Linked DNA regions of Caenorhabditis elegans. The protein of the gene in region 2 purifies or fractionates together with the protein of the main gene of each other region. This does not show direct contact. Each region holds a gene or a part of one and is shown on either strand. Other genes may lie near its edges. The genes, in order: nmad-1 and lpr-4.

Evidence for each region.
Region 1: the proteins of lpr-4 (region 2) and nmad-1 fractionate together in Caenorhabditis elegans (co-fractionation; one large-scale study listed by BioGRID). This does not show direct contact.

The regions. Positions count from the first base shown.
Region 1 is NC_003281.10:5,552,954-5,556,993, forward strand, and holds nmad-1 (DNA N6-methyl adenine demethylase), read right to left. Parts: upstream 1,982-4,040; 5' UTR 1,964-1,981; coding exon 1,847-1,963; intron 1,776-1,846; coding exon 1,691-1,775; intron 1,644-1,690; coding exon 1,486-1,643; intron 1,441-1,485; coding exon 1,211-1,440; coding exon of another isoform or gene 1,174-1,210; intron 902-1,173; coding exon 616-901; 3' UTR 536-615; downstream 1-535. Other genes in the region: hach-1 (3-hydroxyisobutyryl-CoA hydrolase, mitochondrial), read left to right, coding at 2,501-2,554, 2,631-3,023, 3,076-3,449, 3,648-3,868, 3,919-4,037. UniProt on the Caenorhabditis elegans protein: Dioxygenase that specifically demethylates DNA methylated on the 6th position of adenine (N(6)-methyladenosine) DNA. N(6)-methyladenosine (m6A) DNA is involved in epigenetic transgenerational inheritance.
Region 2 is NC_003284.9:11,062,981-11,067,453, reverse strand, and holds lpr-4 (Lipocalin domain-containing protein), read right to left. Parts: upstream 2,329-4,473; 5' UTR 2,267-2,328; coding exon 2,153-2,266; intron 2,105-2,152; coding exon 1,967-2,104; intron 1,893-1,966; coding exon 1,487-1,892; intron 1,415-1,486; coding exon 1,247-1,414; intron 1,199-1,246; coding exon 1,040-1,198; intron 992-1,039; coding exon 894-991; 3' UTR 643-893; downstream 1-642. Other genes in the region: lpr-5 (Lipocalin domain-containing protein), read right to left, coding at 3,254-3,394, 3,452-3,714, 3,764-4,154, 4,201-4,326, 4,374-4,473.

The DNA.
Region 1 (4,040 bases), on a different chromosome or scaffold from region 2:
CTTTAAAGGCGCAAGTCTCTTTTCATTATTTTAACTAAAATTCAAAGCTAAAAATCGGTTTTTTTATAAACGGATTAATTGACAGATTAAAATATTCCTAATGAACGCAAGAAAATAACAGCCACGTGGGTTCTGAAAAATTGCAAACCAAGCAATTTTTGATTCCAAGGTAAACAAATTGTCAGCGAACTCTCTCTCTTTCTTTCAATAACCTCGTGACGAGTCTTCCAAACTACAGGTAAATAATCGAGATGGCTATCTAAATTATACGGTTTTCTTTCTTCTTTGTTGGAATTTAATTTCAAATTTTTTAGGTTCAGGGTCACACGTGTGCCTACAGGAAAACTGTAATGTAGTCTATCTGACAGGTGTCCATCCCAATCAATCATTAAATGAATGCTCTCCGAGCCGTTCACTCCTTATCTTATCTCGATCACATGGCTCTCTGTGACGTCACATGTTGTTTTCCCAATTCGGTTTTCAGCCGATTCATTCCATAATTACTTTGCACCTGAACGAGAAACGAACAAAGAATAAAAATTAAAACTTCTTCAATTAAAAAGTTGGTTGAACAAGGAGAAGAATGACAAAACAGACAGAAAAAAGGAATTATCATCACACGGAAGTTTTCGAAAGTGGTACTCGAATGTTGCCCAGGCGAATTAGCTCGGCACCGTATTTCTCATACAATTCCCCTCCCTCAGCGAAATCTTTGGCCGCCTCTCGCATCGTCAACGCTATTCTTCGTCCACGGATGTGGTGAGCGAGAACTCCGTGCTTCCAATCATATCTACATTCATCGGCCATACAGAGAAGAGAACGATGAGGCATATGGACGTAGCATAAGAACGATTTATTATCGTTGGATAGAGTCATCACGGATCCATTGATTAGGTTGATGCTGAAAAATTGATTGGATTCTTCAAAGTTCTTTAAATTTTGGAAATTAAAAAAAAATGAAATGGGGACAAACAGTATTTAAATTTATTATTCTCGAGGCAAGGCATTTTTTTGAACACAGTTTTTGAGAAAAATCAAATACTCTGAAGTTTTCAGATCTTAAAAAAAATTTTTTTTTTTGTAGATTACTGTCAATGGGAATTTCGTTTTAAAATATTCGCGTTTTTTTTGCAAAAATAAAAATTTTTTGTCGAATTTCTGCCGAAAATAATATTAATTAAACAGTACTTTTTTAAAAAGGAATTCATACCTTATCAATCGATTTCCCCAAATCCACATATCATCCTGATGCATCTCAATGGCACTTTTCTTCACTTCCTCATACTCCAAATTGCACATTTCGAATGGCTGATAATTTCCGAGTTTCTTCACGTCGTATTCACTCATCTTATTGAGCAACATGTCTGCGTACTCTGGCATTCCGACAAATGTGTCCGTTTTTACCTTTTTATGCTTGAAATTCACTTTCGGTCCGTAGTCCTGAACTTTTAAAATTATGTTTTTTTTATTAAATGATTTTCTTACTTGCTTTCTTCGACCACTTTGTGACTGTGCCCATTCAACTGTGTCTATCATATTGAGAATTTTAGATTCTTCAGATTCTGACAGAAAATTGTGAATGAGAGTGAGCCCGTCAATTTCGATGGAGCCGTCTGTAGATACGGATTGGCACGAGGTGGATTCTAGAAATTTCATTTTTAGTTGAAAACTCATTATATGTAATAAAAACCATCAATGATATCCTCCAATGAAGACTGAGAGTTCAGATTTGTCGTTGGAATTGCGATTTGACGAATGTGATCGTAAATGAAGACCTGAAATTTGGAATTTTGTATTCGGTTCAATTGTTTTTTTTTAAAGATTATTTAAAATGAAATATGCATACTTTGTAGTTAACATGCTTATCCTCCACCACGCGAAGCTTTTTCACACGTTCCGTTGTCTCACAAAGTGCACAAAATCGAGCTCCCTTGCAGCCACACGCTTGTTCTGCGGAACCCATGTCGAGAAGTGTTGTTTTCTGGAATTTCGTAATATTTCTAAACATTTTCAGAGTGAAAGGATAATAAAAATGAATTGAACATTTATTTTTTAAAATTACCACATGAAAAATGATACAACTTCTTTAATTTTCCAACAAAAAATCTTAAAAATATAAAAAAAAATTGTCTACTGAAAAAATCTCTGCCTGCCAAACTGTGCGCGGGGCACTTGCGCAAAAAGCGCGCGCACATTGCGTTTCACTCATTAAGCACCGCCCATTTAGTTTTTTCTTTCGGCGGAAAACCCTAATTTGATCAATTTTAATTATTTTTACAAGTTATTCATCGATTCTTTAACGGAATTTGCGTGAAAATGAAAGTTAAATTATTGATTGATTAGTCTATTCCTCAAATTTCCCTATTTTCTTGTTTTGTGCTCAAAGTGCAAGCTTCTTTTTGTGATCAGTGATGTTTTCCCTTTATAACCTCGCGGAACAAGACCACTTTTCTCGTTTTCGTAAACTATTCTTCATTTTATTAAGCCAATTTTCAGAGACATGGCTGCCACTGTCCGAAACTTGCCCGCACTCTTCCGCGGACTTCATTCGAAGGTTTCATTTTTCACAAATTTTGACTAACATTTTATTTTTCTATCAAATTTTCTGTTCTAAACTCAGAAATTTCCAGGAAGTCTGCCAGAAGATGTCGTTCTCCGTGAGCGCCGCCGCCAAGTCGGAAATCCTTGTCGACACACACGGATCGAAGAAGGTGGTTACATTGAATAGGCCTAAAGCGCTAAACGCGTTGAACCTCGAAATGGTACGAGAGTTTTATCCCAAACTTCAAGCCTGGAATTCATCTTCCGATGTGGATCTTGTCATTTTGAAAGGATCCGGTGATAAGGCGTTCTGTGCTGGAGGAGATGTTCTTGCCGTTGTGCGATCTTTCAAAGATTCGGAGAGTGGAAAAGAGTGCACAATGCACAAGGATTTCTTCCGCGAGGAGTACATTTTAAATCATTTAATTGGAACTTTGAATAAGCAATACGTTTGTCTGATTGATGGAATTGTGATGGGAGGAGTAAGTTATCTGCAACTATTTTCTTTTCAATTTTTTAAAAAACTTGTTTCAGGGTTGTGGTCTTTCTGTAAATGGACGTTTCCGAGTTGCCACTGAGAAAACAATGCTAGCAATGCCAGAAACCGCACTTGGACTCTTCCCAGACGTCGGTGGATCCTATTTCCTTTCAAGGCTCAAGGGAAACCTCGGAATGTACTTGGCACTCACTGGATATCGTCTTCTAGGTGCTGACGCTTTCCATGCTGGTCTTGCCACTCATTTTGTGGAGTCTTCGGAACTTGCGAAATTGGAAAAGGAACTTGTGAATATTAAGGATGTGACAGAGAACTCTGTCGATGAAGTCATCAGATCGTTCGAGCCAAAGAAGATTCCAGAATTCAGTCTGTCCAAGAATTTGGCTCAAATTAGAGATTCCTTCAAAGCAAAGTAAGATATTTTGTCACCAAGATCACGTGTATTTGAGTTGGAACAAATTAAAAAGTAGCATTTCATCGAATTGATTTATTATTGTTTCTCAGATAATATTAGTTTTAAGCAAAAACTAGGAAAGGGCCAGTTTTGAGGATTCGATAGCACACAAAAAATTACATTTGCCTAAGATATATAAAATAATTGATTTTTCAGAAGCGTCGAAGAAATCCTCGCAAGCCTCGAAAAAGACGGATCCGACTGGGCAAAGAAGCAAGCAGCCACTCTAGGAAAAATGAGCCCAACTTCCCTGAAAGTAACTCACCGACAAATCACCGAAGGAAGCAAGATGAGCTATGCAAAGATCTTCACAATGGAGTATCGTCTCACTCAACGATTCCTCGCCGATAAGGATTTCCATGAAGGGTGCCGAGCCAGTGAGCAGAGATTTTGTAGGGTTTCATTGAAAATTTGACTCATTTTTCAGTTCTCGTTGACAAGGATCGCAAGCCAAAGTGGAATCCAGCGACGTTGGCTGATGTGAAGGATTCTGTCGTCGATAACTATTTCTCGCCATTGCCAAATAATTCTGATTTAAAATTGTAGAGG
Region 2 (4,473 bases):
AATCCACTGAGAAGCGCAATGCGCAACACAGTCGCCTTTGGTCGACAAGATTTGGGAAAGATGACCTGGATATTTGAAAAATGTTGCTTGCACTTTTCCAAAGAGGCTTTCCTCTTTATCTCTCAAAATAACTGGCACGTAGGAAGCATCTTCTGTGAGTCGGTGATAAAGTTTAAATGGATGTTGTGAATCTTGAAAACTGTTTGTTCAAACCTCAGGTATAAAACCAAGACATTTGTAATCCAAAAGCTTAAACAGTTAATTGCGGAACACAAATTCAAATCCCTGAAGTTTTATTATTTAAGGTTCAAACTTCCAGAGTAGGGAGCAGTTTCTGTAAATAATTTTAGTTTGTAGGAATGATGAAATTAGAAAAATAATGAGCAATTGTTGACTTGTTTAAATTTTAACAGATTATGTTACTCAAAACGGTAGATCATTCTGAATAATTGTCTAGCTATTTCACATCTGAAATATTAATCGGTTTCCGATGGCCCCGCTCCACTACTATGTTGGCATTTTTGTAAACTTCATTTACCTTTTTTAAACTGCCTTCGGAGTGTTTAGTTTACAGTTTCTATGTAACTAAAAAGAAGCTGTTTATTTAATTTTAAAATATATACACTTGCTGAGGATCAACGGTTTAATATCAAATAGTTTATTATTGTCAAACTGAGGATCAGGATTTCATAGAATCCGTTATTAATGAGGCACAAGGAAAGGGAAAAATTACAAGTTATTATAACTAACTTCTTGTTGTTATTAGTTTCATTATTATAATTATTATTATTACAAAATCTGTCTACACACAGAATGGAATGTTTGGGGAGAAACAATTAATTGATGGAGGATACCCGACAGCGAGATGACAGTCGTACGGCGCTTGCAAGCAATTACTTTCCGGTTCCAGAGAAAGTTGGAGTGTACTGACAGGCTTCATAGTCAACTGGAGAGATCATGTTGAAGGCCTTGGTCATGACGTTGATGTAGTCTAAATATTAAAATTATTAAATAAAAAAGCTCTACCATGTTAACTCACTGTTCTGTTGCAAGAATTCGAGGACATTCTTCATGTGCAGCTTTCTGAAGCGTTCTGGGTCACGAGCAATGACAAAGACTGGATATCTGACCCAGGTAGAAACGATGGCGTAGTCGTATTGCTTGTACTCATTGAGTGGTCCCATCTTGATAACCCAGACTGAGCATATTTCACAACTATCAATTATGTAGTTAGTTTATAACTTACAAGGCTCGGCATCAGCAGAATTGGAGTTGTGAAGAACGAATTGTCCAGTTTCTCCAGATTTGAATCCGTATCCGAGAGCATATCTTGGGGATCCATTTGGATTTCCTTCTCTGTAGAACTTGAGGATGGTGAAGGAAGCAGAGTATGTGTTGTTCGTAAGGGCTCCGACTGAAAATTGAACATTGGCAAGATGGTTTAAAAAAAGTGTTTTAGTTAAGACATATATAATCTGCTACTTACAGTGTGACACGGTGCAGGCCTCACGGATGACATGTGGAGAGTTGATAACTTGGAACCATCTTCCCATCATTCTAGCGGTATCTACATTTTCAGCAGTTGGGTGAACAGCTCTGAACACATCCTTTGCGATATTTTTTGCAGTATCCTTTGGAAGAATTCTGCTGATTGAAGATCCTAGAAGAGTGTTTGCTGGTGGAATCATTTGTGGGAAAAGTTGTCCGACAAGGTAGTTAAAATTGCTAAGTCCTGGAATAGTGTTGACTCCTGGAATAACTGGTGCGTCCTGTGGTCCTGGGAATCCTGGTACTGGGATTGGAGCAAGTCCTGGGATTTGTCCAGAGGTGATTCCTTGAAGGTCAACACGATTAGCATTAGCCTCTTCAATAACTTGGTTGACATCGTCACTCTAAACGTCAGATTTTTTTTTAATTTCAGAAACGAGAAGAATATTTCATTCAGCAGATTTACATAGATACTCACTCCAAAGAAAGAACTTGGCACTGGGGCACGACGAATATCCTTTTCATCTCTGGTACTGAATCCAAGTTTATCCAAAATTGATTCAGCCACCTCTCCAACTTTCACAAGAGCTTTGTCGTCAGTTCCTGGTGGTCCAATCTGAAATTGAGCACTCTCAAATAACTGAAAAAAATACAAAATGTTTACCTTTGCAGTTGGGTCGATTCCAGCGGGCAGGCTATCGAATGTTGGTGCATCTGGTGCAGCGAGGAAAACTCCTCCAATTACGCAGGCGAAAACAACCGCCGTCAGCCGTTGCATCGTTAGAACTTCCAAGTGTGGGCTTTCTCAATGGGCTGTATCGTCCGGGTGAGATATATGTTGACCTCAAAATGTCCAGCGTCGATAGGCTTTCACTCTCGTTACGTGCCAATTTTCGCTTCTTCTTTTGCGTCTCTTCATGCAAGATTCACTGGACTGTATCCGCGAATCATTGCGACAGTCACCACTTTCACTTGACCGATATTCGCTTTTCCCCGTACCCCTTTCTAATCCTCTGGATTGAATTACTCTGATAGAGATAGAGAGATACTCTCAGAAATAGGAATGATGAAGATAAATGTGACAGGCAAACACTGTTCCAGAGTTTGACCTGACCTAATTGAAAAATGAGTAAATTGATACAAGAAAATAAGAAGAAACCCCTTTCTCAATAAGTCAAAATCGGCATTTTTCGTAAACCAAAGTTTTAAGTTCTAAAAAATGACTTTTCTGAATAATTTTATAACATGGTTGTAAGAATGATCTGGGCCGAGAAATTGAGAATATTCATTAATTGTATTTAATCCTTTATGATCAATTATAGAAACATCAACTCTGATTTTTCGACGATGCCATTTTTGTTAAGAATTGCGCATCCGTTTAATAATTGTACTTCTTTCTTCATTACTAAAGAAATGTTAAAAATAGATAGTTTAAAAAATTTATTAACTGCATATTATCAACATTATTAGGACAAGTGTGAAAGACGTAGAAAAAATATAACCGAAATTATAAAAAGGAATAAATTATTCGAAATTCTATATACAACAAGGAATGCACGAGCCCACGGCCTGATTTTTTGTGTAGTTTCTAAATGAAAATTAAAGAAAAATGCTTTGGATTGTAAACTAAGACTTAAAAAGATGAGGTAATCACCCGAGGGTTGAAAGAGAAGAAAGGGCAATGAGAACGGGATGATGGATGGAAAAAAACCATATTAAAAATTATTAGGAGTTATTAGAAATTATTAAGATGGTGGCGAGTAAACTATCTTCCTTGGTTGTAGAAAAGATGTGGTGGGAAGATGCACATAGTGTTGTCGACTGGAGCAACAACATTAAGCAGGCGAGAGATTCCATTCACAATTCCGCTCTTGTCCAGGAACTCATTGACAACTGGTTCGTATTTCTAAAATAATATCAGTTGAATTATCACAACATAATCACTGTTAATTAATTTTCATACCTGCTTGAAAATGCTAGTATCTCTTGCAAATACATAGACTGGATAGTTGCAGTTGGTGGACATGACAACATATTCATATTCTCCCTGATGATTCAATGGTCCAACGCTAAGAATGTGCACAGTCACATCTTCTTTGTTGGAATTTGTTCTGAAGATGAGTTCTCCCTTTCCTTTCACCAAGGCATATCCAGAAGAGATTATTGGCTTTCCATATGGAGTTCCATCAGTTGTGTACTCATAGACATCTACGATTGATCCGGTGGCTGAAAAACAACTAGTTAAAACTGATTAAAATCTATTAATGCACGTTACCTTCTCCATTATCACTAAGTTTTTTGTAAGAAACCATGCTGCAAGGGCCAGTAGATACTGGTGGAGAGTAGATAACTTGGTACCATTGTCCCATAAGAGGATCGAGTTCAAATTCAACCGGGATTGGTTTTTGTGTGCATAGTGGAGAGTTTGGCTTGATGATAAGATCTTGAATCATTTCAAGATTGCTGCTGATGGCGGCAGATTGAGCTGGGGTAAGGACAATTGAGCCATTTTCACTCTTCTCAATTTCAGTTCCATTGGACTCGAGTGAACCACTGGAAAGAGTCTTGAAAAGCATATCAGTCAGAATGTTGCTACCAGGTTTTGGGAATGGACTGTTTTCTCCCGAAAGGAGGTTGGATACAGCCTTTCCGATAGTGTTCTTTTCCTAAATTAACTCGATTAAGATGGTTAAAAAGAATATGAAATCTTACTGGAGCGGTTCCGTTCCCATTTTTGGCGTTCTCCTTAGCTTTCTTTCCTCCGAGCTTGATAAGATTGAAAATAGTTCCAATCAATCCACCTCCAGACGAGTTTGAGTCTTCGGAAAGACCTCCATACTAAAAGATAAAAATAAATGTTCGAGAACGCTGCGAAAAAAATTTACCTCTTCTGTATTAAGTTCATCTGATTTAGAATCAATTGAGTGCGAGACTTCAGATACTGAAGATGGAGAGCGACGAACTTCTGAAGTTGGAAGGAATCCA